Linked DNA regions of Oryzias latipes. The protein of the gene in region 4 purifies or fractionates together with the protein of the main gene of each other region. This does not show direct contact. Links are inferred from orthologs where the notes say so. Each region holds a gene or a part of one and is shown on either strand. Other genes may lie near its edges.

Evidence for each region.
Region 1: the proteins of trim33 (region 4) and mothers against decapentaplegic homolog 3 purify together in Homo sapiens (affinity purification with western blotting; 7 studies listed by BioGRID and IntAct, with this or other methods). This does not show direct contact. The link is inferred for Oryzias latipes from reciprocal best matches to the Homo sapiens genes TRIM33 and SMAD3.
Region 2: the proteins of trim33 (region 4) and skil purify together in Homo sapiens (affinity purification with western blotting; 4 studies listed by BioGRID and IntAct, with this or other methods). This does not show direct contact. The link is inferred for Oryzias latipes from reciprocal best matches to the Homo sapiens genes TRIM33 and SKIL.
Region 3: the proteins of trim33 (region 4) and ssrp1 purify together in Homo sapiens (affinity purification with mass spectrometry; 3 studies listed by BioGRID and IntAct, with this or other methods). This does not show direct contact. The link is inferred for Oryzias latipes from reciprocal best matches to the Homo sapiens genes TRIM33 and SSRP1.

The regions. Positions count from the first base shown.
Region 1 is NC_019861.2:12,626,459-12,628,669, forward strand, and holds part of mothers against decapentaplegic homolog 3, read right to left. Parts: intron 488-2,211; coding exon 364-487; 3' UTR 1-363. UniProt on the Homo sapiens protein: Receptor-regulated SMAD (R-SMAD) that is an intracellular signal transducer and transcriptional modulator activated by TGF-beta (transforming growth factor) and activin type 1 receptor kinases.
Region 2 is NC_019875.2:30,153,032-30,156,531, reverse strand, and holds part of skil (ski-like protein), read left to right. Parts: intron 1-1,826; coding exon 1,827-1,919; intron 1,920-2,079; coding exon 2,080-2,168; intron 2,169-2,808; coding exon 2,809-2,945; intron 2,946-3,500. UniProt on the Homo sapiens protein: May have regulatory role in cell division or differentiation in response to extracellular signals.
Region 3 is NC_019868.2:13,992,159-13,994,698, reverse strand, and holds the end of ssrp1 (FACT complex subunit SSRP1), read left to right. Parts: coding exon 1-137; intron 138-1,514; coding exon 1,515-1,580; 3' UTR 1,581-2,040; downstream 2,041-2,540. UniProt on the Homo sapiens protein: Component of the FACT complex, a general chromatin factor that acts to reorganize nucleosomes. The FACT complex is involved in multiple processes that require DNA as a template such as mRNA elongation, DNA replication and DNA repair.
Region 4 is NC_019865.2:973,538-977,037, forward strand, and holds part of trim33 (E3 ubiquitin-protein ligase TRIM33), read left to right. Parts: intron 1-2,035; coding exon 2,036-2,086; intron 2,087-3,062; coding exon 3,063-3,281; 3' UTR 3,282-3,500. UniProt on the Homo sapiens protein: Acts as an E3 ubiquitin-protein ligase. Promotes SMAD4 ubiquitination, nuclear exclusion and degradation via the ubiquitin proteasome pathway. According to PubMed:16751102, does not promote a decrease in the level of endogenous SMAD4.

The DNA.
Region 1 (2,211 bases), on a different chromosome or scaffold from region 4:
TAATTGAGTGTAAAATGTATCCAACAGCTATAAACAATAAACAAGACATTAAAAAAAAACAGGAAATAAAAAAATAATTCTGCCTTTCTGGCTATCAGATGCCAAAAATGACAATGACCTTCAAAAAAAAAAAGAAAAAAGAAAAAAGACCAATATGCTGAGATCCTCCTAAACTGATACTGCATTAATGCACGTGTCCCCTTTTTGCAACTAGAAAATAAAAAAAGTGCTACTGGCAGCGAGGAGGGACAAACAGTGGCTGGATGAGAGGCGTGTCATCATGTAGTTCTCGGGCTGCTCTTCCTATCTGTGTTTTCAGTTTCGTGAAAGGGGGGGGGGGGGGGGGGGGCAGGGAAGCTCCCCCTAGGAGACACTGGAGCAGTGGATGCTTGGGGAGCCCATCTGTGTCAGCACCTTGTCGAGCCACTGCAGAGGGCCGTTCAGGTGGAGCTCGATCCAGCAGGGGGTGCTGGTCACTGTCTGCCGCCTGGGACGCACACACAGACAACAGATGGTGAGGATGCAGAACCAGCCGCTCTGCCTGTAAGTAAACACATCAAGTCCTGGAAAAACAAACACCTGATCGATTTTAGCCCTGATATTTGGCATATGCAATCAAACTGGATCTATTCTGAGCTGCAGCTGAACTTCCTGCTGTTTAGTAAGACGAGGCTTCGACTTTTCTGTGAATTATGGCAATTATTATTGCACAGCGTCATAAAACTGCTTTAACAAGACGGCAAGGTTTTGTTCTGTCTGGCACTGAATCTGATCATGGAAACAAGATAAGATGTTTTTCACATTCATAGAACACTTAAAACTAGAGTCACTGTCTGAAGCTGTTTTTTATCCCTTTATTTATATAAGAGACACCCATTGAGACGGAACTCTTTTCACCTGGGAGATACCCGGGTCAACCTCTGTTCACGGAACAGCTCCTCTTAAGAGCCTTGCTCAAGGGCATTACAGCAGTGGAGCAAAGGCTTTTTTACTTTACTATGACTTTTTCAAGTCAGAATTGGGACTTGAACCAATGACCAACCAGCCAAGGGTTCATGTCAGTGACCAGTAGGCCAGCCCTCCACACACATCAGCTGGATTTGTAACCCGTGACTGTTGATTTTCTTTCTCCACGTCAAAGCGCGTCTGCAGCCTCTGTCAGGGTTACTTAAACAAGAGTTCAAGAACAGAACGTTTAGCAATTTCTGAGAACTTTCGTTCCAAAATGACCTATTGGCAGACCCACTCTGATGTAAATTGTGTTGTGTTTGTAATCATGGCGAATTAGGAGCAGAAATACAGTTGGCGAAAGCCTGTAGAGGTGACATACAAGCTATAATTAGTGGGCAACAAGCTCCCTGCTCTGCTCCATTCTGATGTATCCACTTGCAGACAAATAGATCCATGAACGTCTTTGTTTTCCTCGTCTGAACTGTTATCTGCTCCAACATTGCTCCCCGTTTTTGTTGCATCTGCAATGTTCGGTTGGGGCTGTAAGCTAGTGGGAGAAAGTGTAATCAGATGGATGACGGGAAATAGGGGCGGGCTTACTTTGCACCAATGGGGTTGCCCTCAATTCAGAGGTAAATTTCTAATGAACTAATGTTTTATTTGTTTTTTTTGACTGAAAATCCTCATTAAAAGAGCAGTGGGGATACTTTTACAATAGATCAAAGAGGATTGGAGTGGGACTTTAAATGAGGCCGTACTTTGACCAATAAGGCAGAAAGACAAAAAATACGATTTGAAGCTTGATCTTGAAGCGTCTTTTGTCAAATGTGCTACATTCAAAGTGGACTGATCTTCATGTCTTTTACATTTTTTGCTGTATAGCTGTTTATATTTGATATGCTTCTTTTTCTAAACTTTCTCCTTCTTGAATCTTTACGATTCTTTTGTTCTCTCTGACCTCAGAATGGACAGGACAGACTGGAGCTGATAACGAGAACAGTGGGATTGAACTTTGATGATTCAGGGTTTGGATCCAGATGTTTCACATTTTTAAGGCAGAAATAAAAAAAATTTGAACAAAGGGATTAAACTGCTGGCTCTGTGTTAAAAGTCTCATCAAGCTAAAGGATGCAGAAGTTTTGGAATCAACTGGACAGCAGCTCACCGGATACAACACAAATGCTTCCCAATGTCGGCTCCTTTAAAGTATTCATTCATGTGAAGCAGTTTTTAAACTGAATGACAAAAACGTGGAGGGAC
Region 2 (3,500 bases), on a different chromosome or scaffold from region 4:
GGCGACAGAACTCTGATGTTAAGGTGGTTCCTGGTCTCTGTAGTTCTGAGCTTCATGAAGGATCTGCTCTGAACCGGATCTCTGCTTGATCTCAGGTTTCTGTGAGGAAAGTGCGTGCACGTCTGTCCGTTACCGTGCACGTATGGAGATACCATCTCTGTTTATAGCACAGCGTCTCTGTGCGTGAGGGGAGTCCACGTGACCACGTAGGGGCTGGACCTCCGTCTGTGTCGGTTTGTGTCAAAGGCTCCTCTGCCTCAGGGGTGTAGCGTCCAGCCGGGGCCTCCTCCTGCTTTCTGAGAGGAGGACGAGTCCTCTGGTCCCAAACTGAAGAAATGACCGCAGACACACACAGACAGAGTCACGGATGTTCCTGCAGCTCCTGCCTCTGCATGAGCGCCTGCTGCAGAAATGTCACGTGCGCCGTGGAAGTGGGTCACTGAAGTTCACATGGCGGCGTGTGTCTGCGGCGCTCGGGGGTGATGCGTGTGAAGCCGACAGACTGCAGGTGATTAAGAACAGCAGAGTTCAGCGCGGAGTGGGATCTGCCTTTGTCAGGAGGTGTGTGTGGGGAGGGGGGCACAAAGAAGTGCTCATCCTTTGGGGGGGGGGTTGTGTTTGTAGTGGGCCGTCCTGGGTCAGAACCTGCACTTAGGTCATGAACTGTAGGGTTCAGACAGAAACCACAACCTCTGAGACATGAACGAATGGTGACACCTAAACTTCCTGTTTCCCGCCGCCCTTCCTGCTCACCTGACAGTGACCCCCCCCCCACGCCACAGCAGTGCATGTGCTCATTATCAACACGCTCTTTGCTCTGCTATAAACGTGTGTGGGTGGTAGTGTTCTGACATTCTTGGTTTACTGTCACATGCACACGCACGTGCACATGCACGAGGACAAACGGGAATCACACAAAGTGTAAAATCCCTGCTGGGGGGGGGTTCCACAGAACTTCCACCGCAGTGTTGTTTTCTCCTTTTGTCCTCCCCCCTCCTCCCTGGCGGCTCTGCAGTGCTGCCTCCTGGATGGAAAAAAGGAAAAACCTCCAACCACAAGTATTTTCAGACGGACGAGCCCCCGCCTGTGCTCCGGCCCACCTGCAGCCGGGGGGGGCGCATGTTCTGACGCACTCGACATGTCTGTGGAGGGGGGGGGGCTCTGCAGATTATCTCTCTATAGATTTTTGTCTCACTGCCGATTGATCAGTTTTATTGTGAAAATCCCTCATTCTGATGGTTTTATTGTGAAAATCCCTCATTCTGATCTGGCAGGCTCGCTCAGAAGGTCACAGGACTTTTCCTGCGTAGTTTTCATGCTCCTTCCTTCTGATGATGAAGACCCTCATGTCTGTCACGGACCTCCTCTGTCTGTTAGGAGGCGTTCGCCATGCCTCCTTTTGACCTTCTGCTCTTCTGGTCTCCGCCTCCTCTGCGCTGAGGTCACCCTTTTTCACGCCTTTTCTGTGTCAGACGCCCCAGTTGGACGTGTAGTCCGTCTCCTTTGTCTAAAGGGTCGTCTCCAGTCTAAAACACGGAGGCGCTTCATCTGCAGCGTTCACCAAACCGCTGATCATCAAACCATCATCGGGTCTGGATCCGTCCAAACCTTTCAGTCCGTTTTGTTTCCCTGCAGCCACGGTTCCGGGGTCACTTCCTGTCTCTGTGGCATTTGTCTGACCTCTGACCTGTTTTGAAAATCGTTTCTGTGAACAGTTTCCGGAATATTTATTTTCAGTAGAATATCAGGAACCATCTTTCTCACTTCCTGTCTCTGCAGCAAATGTCTGACCTTTGACCTATGTCCTGTTTCTCTCCGTACATCAGAAGACGGGGGAGGAAGAGGAGGGCCGCGTGAGGAAGAACTCTGCAGATCTCTGCTCTGTTAATAAGTTGGACGATGCTGAACCTGCCAGAAAGGTCAGTCAAAGCCCCGCCCCCTACGGTCTACATCTGTACCTCTCACCGTCTTTGTGTGTGTGTGTGTGTGTGTGACTTTTTCTCTGTCTTTTGTGTCTTATAAAGTCTTTTTTGTTGCTGTTGTGTCACATTCCCAGTTTGTATGATTTGTGCTCCACAGGGTAAACCGTCTCCCCCCGCTCTGCTCTACAGCCATGTTTTCCCAGACATCAAGGAGGAGCCAGGACCCCCCACCCTGGTCCATCCCAGGTACTGCACCTGACTCGCTCACAAAAGACACTCAGGTTCCCATCATGCCTCTGGCTGCAGACGCCCTGACGTTCAGAATCAGACTCCATTTTTCATGGGGACAACATGATCAGACCTGTGCTGCTGAGGCTTCTGGGTAATGGAGTCTTTGCCATAGAAAACTGTTTATTCGAAGTTTGTTTTTTGGAGGAGCCCCCCCCCCCCCCCCCCATTAATCTGACTGGGATTACAGCCAAGAATTCGGGGTTTATGCTGCTGTGGTTGATGACTGACGTCAGAGTGTGTGTGGGGGGGTCTGGTCACCTGGCAGCCTCTGTGCACAGAGAGGGGGGAGGGGGGCCAGGTCTCTGCTGACATCTGAGAACTGTTCTTTTTTGGGGTGGGGGGCACAGGGAGGGGCAGCAGAGCCACTGAGCTGTCAGGCTTCACCTGGTTCAGTGCTGCAGCCTCCCTTGGGGGGCAGGGAGTCTCAGCGCCCCTCTTCTTGGCGTGCAGCCCACACAAACAGGAAGTGAGGGCCTGTAGTCTCCTCTGGAGGAGCTAAAAGACTGGCTGGAGGTTGAGTGGTGGACCCCCCCACCAAAGCAAACAGAGCAGCTGCTTCATCTTTATGCTGTCATGCGTCTCCTTTTCTCTGCAGTTACTACCTGTACACCTACGATAAGATGGTGGCGCCCAACGTGTCCCTGCGGAGGGAGGCGGAGGTGAACCCCGACATGCTGGGGGCGCTGCTCAGACAGCACTACGGCCACAGAGCCCCGGACGAGCCCCCAGTGGGTGAGTGAGCAGACAGCGGTTCAGAACCAAACACGTCCATGAAATGCTGCTTCTGTTTGACAAACGCCGGAGTTCCAGTTTGAGACCAACGTTTGTTTTTACAAAAGTCTCCATTTGATTTTATTACAGTGAGAAAAAAGGTTTGATTCTAAAACCAACATTTACTCTGAGATTCCAGATCAGCTGGAAGTTTTTCAGCATTTATGTGAACAGAACAAAAGAAAACGTGACGACTTTTCATTTGTATGAAACACACCTGTACAAAAATGATCTCACACACACATTTGATGGTGATAAACGGGCGGTTAGTGACCCCCCCTCCAGTGATGAGTCACGTCTACAGCTGTTGGACCCCCCCTCTGTTTGCTAGACCCCTTCTTTTACTCTTTAAGCCCCACCCTCCTTCATCTCAGCCTCTCTATCACACTTCTGCCCGCCCAGATCTTAGTGAATGTAATCAATGCCTCCATTCTATTATTTCCCATGATGCACCTCTGAGGCCAGCCTCAGCTGTGGGACAGCGCGCGGCGGCGTTCAGCGCTCCCACACCGACGC
Region 3 (2,540 bases), on a different chromosome or scaffold from region 4:
AGAAGAGGAAGTCTGCTGGAGGTGACAAAGACAAGGAGCGAGGAGGCAACGACAGCTTCAAGAGCAAAGAGTTCATTGAGACCAGCGAGGAGAGCTCCTCAGACTCCGACCACAAGAGCAAGTCCAAGAGGAAGAAGGTACACTGATGGTTGCTGTCACAGAAGTTAACCTTTTAAAGGCCAGCAGCACCAGTTACACTTCAATTTGATCAAAGAAAGACCCATAAGTAACACGTGAAGCATCATTTACTCACACAGATCAGCTTTCATTAAAAAATCAATCTAATGCTTTGAGAAAGTTGACGCCACGGAGTGTCCTGCCATTAATACAAGGTCTGAATGAATGAACGTCTCGCCAAAGGAACGACCGTATTTTCTTTAATTATACATTTACTTTGCATCTACAGTTCTGAGTGAGTGATAATTGGATTATTAAATTACCAGAAAACAATTATTTTCTTCTACAGTGGGATTCAGATTTCAAATAAAAAAACTGACTGTTTGGAAACTTGTTGTTGGGGGAATAAGAAGAACTATTTGTCTTTCCTCTGAATATATTGTTAGTTTTGTTTCTCAACTCAATTGAGACAATATCCAATCAGCACTTTATTTATCTATTTACACCTTCATAAACAAAGTAAAGACAGAGTTTTTGACACAAATGCTTCTTTGTTGGAAAAAGTCCATCTGTACTGTAGCAATGAGAGTTCCTGTGGCATCCTGTGGCTTTGAGCATTAGGCGTGGCGGGACGCTGGAGCTGCAGCGCGGCATCAACCAATCAGGAGCTCAGATGTGCAGTGATGTGTTGAGGACGGGAACAGTGGGTGAAGTCTAAAACCATCATGGAGGAGAAGCTGATTCGTCCTCCTCTCAAACTTTGATATTTTTCATATAAGAATCAAAAGAATATAGATATATTTTTAAAAGGCCCTTTTTTGTATCTTAAACTTTCTCGGACTAATGCAGGACAGCTTTAGTCATTTTGTCGTTCAGACGCAGTTCCTGCAGTAGATGGTGAACCTAACCGTACTGGAAGTGTCTTCCAATGATGTCAAAATCCCAGAAATGGAGACGTGCTTACCGACATCTTTTGCAGAGCGTTTCAAACCTCTTAACATCATCCATGTCTTCCATGCATTGCTCATGAGAGCTACTGAAATACAGTCTATGCTTCCTACAGGCCTGAGGCTAAAAGCTTTTGACAGTAGCTCCTCCCACATCAACGCAGTGAGAGCGTCAGGTCCAGCAGCACGTTGACCGCGCGTCCAAACAGGCGGAGGTTACAAAAGTCTTTGCGTGAATGGCATTTAGTGTGAACGCAGCATCAGGAAGATCATGTCTCAAGCCTCCAGTTAGTAAAGTGATGAACTCCTTAAGTCATCTTCAGTTTGTGTGTTTTCTGTCAGTTCAGTGCACACACCAAAACCTGACTGTATGTTGTGTATACATATAAATATATATATATATACCTGTGTTAAGAGTTAAAAACAATGATAACTTTGTTTTTTGAACAGGAGTCAGATGATGAGGAAGAAGAGGCTGTGTCCACCCCTGCCAACTCGGAGGAAGAGTCTGACTAAACAAGTTACGTCAAAGACCCCAAACCAACAAGGACCAACAATTTATACTTTTGATTTCAGACTAGTCGGCAAACTTGAGTTATACATATTTTTCTTTTGTTTAGATTTAAGACAACTCTAAATTGTATGTCTGGATAAGAAGAGTCATCTCCGGGTTGACATCTGAGCAGGCGGCCGGCCCCCTCCCAGCTCAATGAAGCAATGGGGTCTTTTGCTTCGCTTGAATTATTAAGGTGTTTTTTCCATCGAGCCCATGGGAGCTGCTCTGACGGAAGCAGCAGGAAAGACTGTGAGCCCCCGATTATGTCATGTGAATGATGCAGAGTAGTGGATTTTTTGTTTCCCTCCTTCTCTCTGTATAGTGCTTTTAAAAACAACATTTTGTGTGTTTTGCTACGCCGTGTTTTCAGGTTGACATAAATAATTTTCAATAAACCTTAACTTTTTTTCCCCTTTGGTACATGTTCTCTTACGTTCTCTGGTTCCGTTTTCCTGAGACCCAAACTAGTTTCAGGAATTACTGCCTTCCAGAAATGTGTTATTTGCTTGGTTCTATACCAAAAAACTTCACCATTTGAGTGGGACAGTCCTCCACCCAGATGCATATTGGTTAGAGAGCATTAAAACAAAAACCATTTCAACAAATAAAAATGCAAAAAATATCTTCTGGGAGATTAAATCCAGAATTATAGAGAAATTAACATTTGTTTCTGCCTATTTAAGATTCAATGCAAATCCTGAAAAAGTGTTCCTCCAATGAAGGATCTCAAGAAATCTGTAGAACAGGGTCTGCAGCCTGAGGCTCTGGAGCCACATGTGGCCCTTCATCCATTGTAGCTCTTTGCTGGCTAGCAAGAAACATTATTCCACTTTTCAAAAAGATGTTAGATTAAATGTCAACAGAACTCTAATGGTAAGAGTGGTATATTATCAAAATAAGCTGATATGTACATGTAGATT
Region 4 (3,500 bases):
CGTCTGTACCGGTAGTTCTGTTATACGTCTGTACCGTTAGTTCCGTTATACGTCTGTACCAGTAGTTCTGTACACGTCTGTACCGGTAGTTCTGTACACGTCTGTACCGGTAGTTCAATACACGTCTGTACCGGTAGTTCCGTTATACGTCTGTACCGTTAGTTCCGTTATACGTCTGTACCAGTAGTTCTGTACACGTCTGTACCGGTAGTTCAATACACGTCTGTATTGGTAGTTCCGCACACCTCTGGATTGGTAGTTTATACACGTCTGTACCGGTAGTTTTGTATACGTCTGTGCCAGTAGGTCTGTACGCGTCTGTACCGGTAGTTCTGTACACGTCTGTACAGGTAGTTCCGTACACATCATTACAGGTACGTCTGTACTGGTAGTTCAGTGTATTTCAGTACCAACCAGGTTATGAGTCTGGGTACCCATCCCTACTCATCCCTACTGGAGGGAGGGGCTGCCGTGCCTCTGCACCAGAACATGTTTGATTCGTCCGTTTCTGATTTAATGTGATGTTGTTTCCTATTTGAATTTTCTGTTTGAGGCATCAAAGAATTGAAGACCTCATCTTAACTAGACCACGCTGATACCAAACAGAACCCGTTTAAACTTTAGCACGTCTGGAAACAGACCAAAAACAGTCCACTGGCCACATGGTGCACTAAATCATGAGGAAATGCAGACTCGGCCTTCAAGCAGATGGACTCGGCGTCTCTACTGGTTTGTGGAACAGCGGCTCAACAAACGAGATTTTTAACCAAAGAAAACCAAAGATCTGACCCAAATCTCCAGAGGATCCAGAGGTAGAGATTCTAACTAAAGAATAGAGGTGTTTATTCTTAAACCGCTGAAGTTTTGTGGGAAAGCTGCTGCTCTGGGTTTCATTCCTTCCTGTCAGTAGTTGTTTTCTTCCTGCAGGGCCTTTGGTGTCAAATTGTTGGAGTTTGTTTCCTAAATTGTTTTTCTCTCTACCGTCAGCGTTTGCTCTAACACGTCCCTTTAATCCGGTAAAATAATCTGTTTGAACCGGAAGGGTCTGGGTTGAGCTGTTGGTCTTCAGCTTGATGTTTTATAAACAAACTGACGTTTACAGGAACCGGCGGTGGCGTCTGTAACGCACCAACGCGTGTGAAACGGTCGGTTCATCTCGATTTAAAACCTCTGTGACGATGAAAAACAAGCGGCAGCACTCTGAGAAGCTGCTTTGTGCCGAGTCAGGATGCTGTCGCCGCGTCATGCTAAGCCGTAAAGAGAAACATCCAGCAGACCGTGGCGAGGTTAGAAAACACAAACTGAAGCTGCGGCTCAGCTGATGGGGCGGAGCTTCTCCTTTCTCTGTGGAGGAGGACCGGAGGAACAGCCTCAGGAGCCCGGTAGAGCCTGGACCGCGGGTGGGAGGAGAACCAGCAGCCTAACCGTCTCAGGACCTGAGCTGGCATTTGCTGTTGTCTGTAGGGTGGGGGCTTTCTGTGGAAGAGGTTGGAGGATCAATTCCCCTTTATTTCACCAGATACCTTTCCGAAGAAGGGCAAACCGCGACAGGCCCTGGGGCCGTTTTAAAGCTTTTGCTGTAGATTAGAAAATGGTTACGGAAGATTTCCAGAACTTCTGGAGCTCGATCCAGTACCTAAAATAACAGAACTTCTGTAAAATAAAAGGGAAAAGGTCAACAGATGAAAACAAGTTGATTTAATTTCAATAAAAAGCCTCATGGACGTTGAAAACGTCCGGAGAAAGACTTTCAAAATAAAAGTCCTGCAGCACCGTTTCATGTTCAGAACTTTGCTGATGGTTCTCTGAACATGGTTTCAAGCATTGCTGTGGAGAAAGCGTCCGAACAGACGAACCGCCCCATTGTGGGTTTGATCCTGCTGTTAATGCTGCTGGTTTGGTGTCCTCAGCCTGTCCTGCAGCCCCCCCCTGCAGAGACAGACGTCCCTCCTGTGATGATCTAACCTGCTTTTGCTGTGACCTTCTCTTCCTCGCTGCTTCACGGTCTTTGATGTAATGTCGTTGCCCCCTTTAGATGTCTCGAATAATCCAGGTTTATGATGAGGAGAAAGAGATTAATCCACAGGTAAGCTCAGGTACCTGTTTCCTCCCACTGAGGCTCCTAGAAAGGTTTTTCCACTTCAAACTGTGATGAGGGGGGGGGTCGGGAAGGGATGCCGTGAATTAATAGTCGTCCTTTCAGGGTCCGTTTGACCCGTTTGATGAAGCGGGATCCGTTTTTGATCCCGTTAGTTTGATTCCAACCCCTCCGAATCGCTGGTTCTGCCAAAGCCACGAACCAATCAGATTAATTCATGTGAGGTTATGAAACCAGCAAATATGGTGGTTGGTTCTGATCCAAATCCATCTAAGTCATGATTCAAAGGGAAATTTACACAAAGAAAAGATGCATTCTAAAAATAATAAAAGAATTTGGTTTATATCAGAATAGTTTATTTTCCATCTTTTACCTGAGGATTGATTTGATCTGATGCACTGATTATTATTGGATGTCGTCCCGATCAGTGGTGACACTGAGCATGTGCAGTAGCCTCCTGGTTCCTCTGCGCTTCAGTTGAGCCTTTCTTTCTGTTTGAACACATCTGGTTCCTGTATTTTCCATCATTCCAGAGAAACGAAGGCGCTCTGCTCTTTGTCATCTTAGTTCAGTTGTGACTCCGCCCACATCAGTGAAGGTTGACTTCTTCCTCAGATGAAGGAACTTCAGCCGCATCTTTTGGGCGCTAAAGCTAAAAACCTTTTTAAAGGTTTATGTTGGAACAGAAGGAGAGAAAATGAAAATGCTGCAGATGGATGAAGGTCTGATGGTGGAAAAACGTCATGGAGCCGCAGTGGGACAGGAAGGCAGAATATTCCTGCTCTGCTCAGCAAGGTTGAGGTGGGGCCGCCTCCCCGCAAGACTTTTAACCAGGTTTAATTTGTCTCCTCGTTCTCCTCCTCCTCACCCTTCCTCTCCAAACCCACTCACTGGTGCTCTCAAACCTTCTCCCTCCTCTTTCACCGCTCCCACTTTCTCCTCCCTCCTCTTCCTCCTCCGGCAGGCCGGGTCGGAGATGGCCATTTCCGGGAAGGCGGTGGGTCTGTACTTTGAGGAGAAGCTGCAGGAGATGTTCCCGGGCCAGAACTTCCCCGAAACTCCAGAAGCCGAGCCCCCGGATGAGAAGGAGCGGGAGGAGGAGACGGAGGACTCGGAGGACGACTTCATACAGCCCCGACGCAAGCGGTTGAAAACGGACGAGAAGGTGGTCCACATCAAATAGTGACTGAACCAGGAGTGAAGACCGTCTTCCCGCCTCCCTCACTCCCGTTTCTTCAGGAAGAGGAGGAGAGCTCCTCACAAACAGCGGTTCATCCTACGGTTGCCTTTGGAAGAACTCCCATCTACAACATTGTACAGACGATGAAGCTGGACTGGTTTTGCAGTAGTGGACTTTGGGTTGTTTTTCTTATCCCTTTGTAGATTCATGTGATTCTTTTCC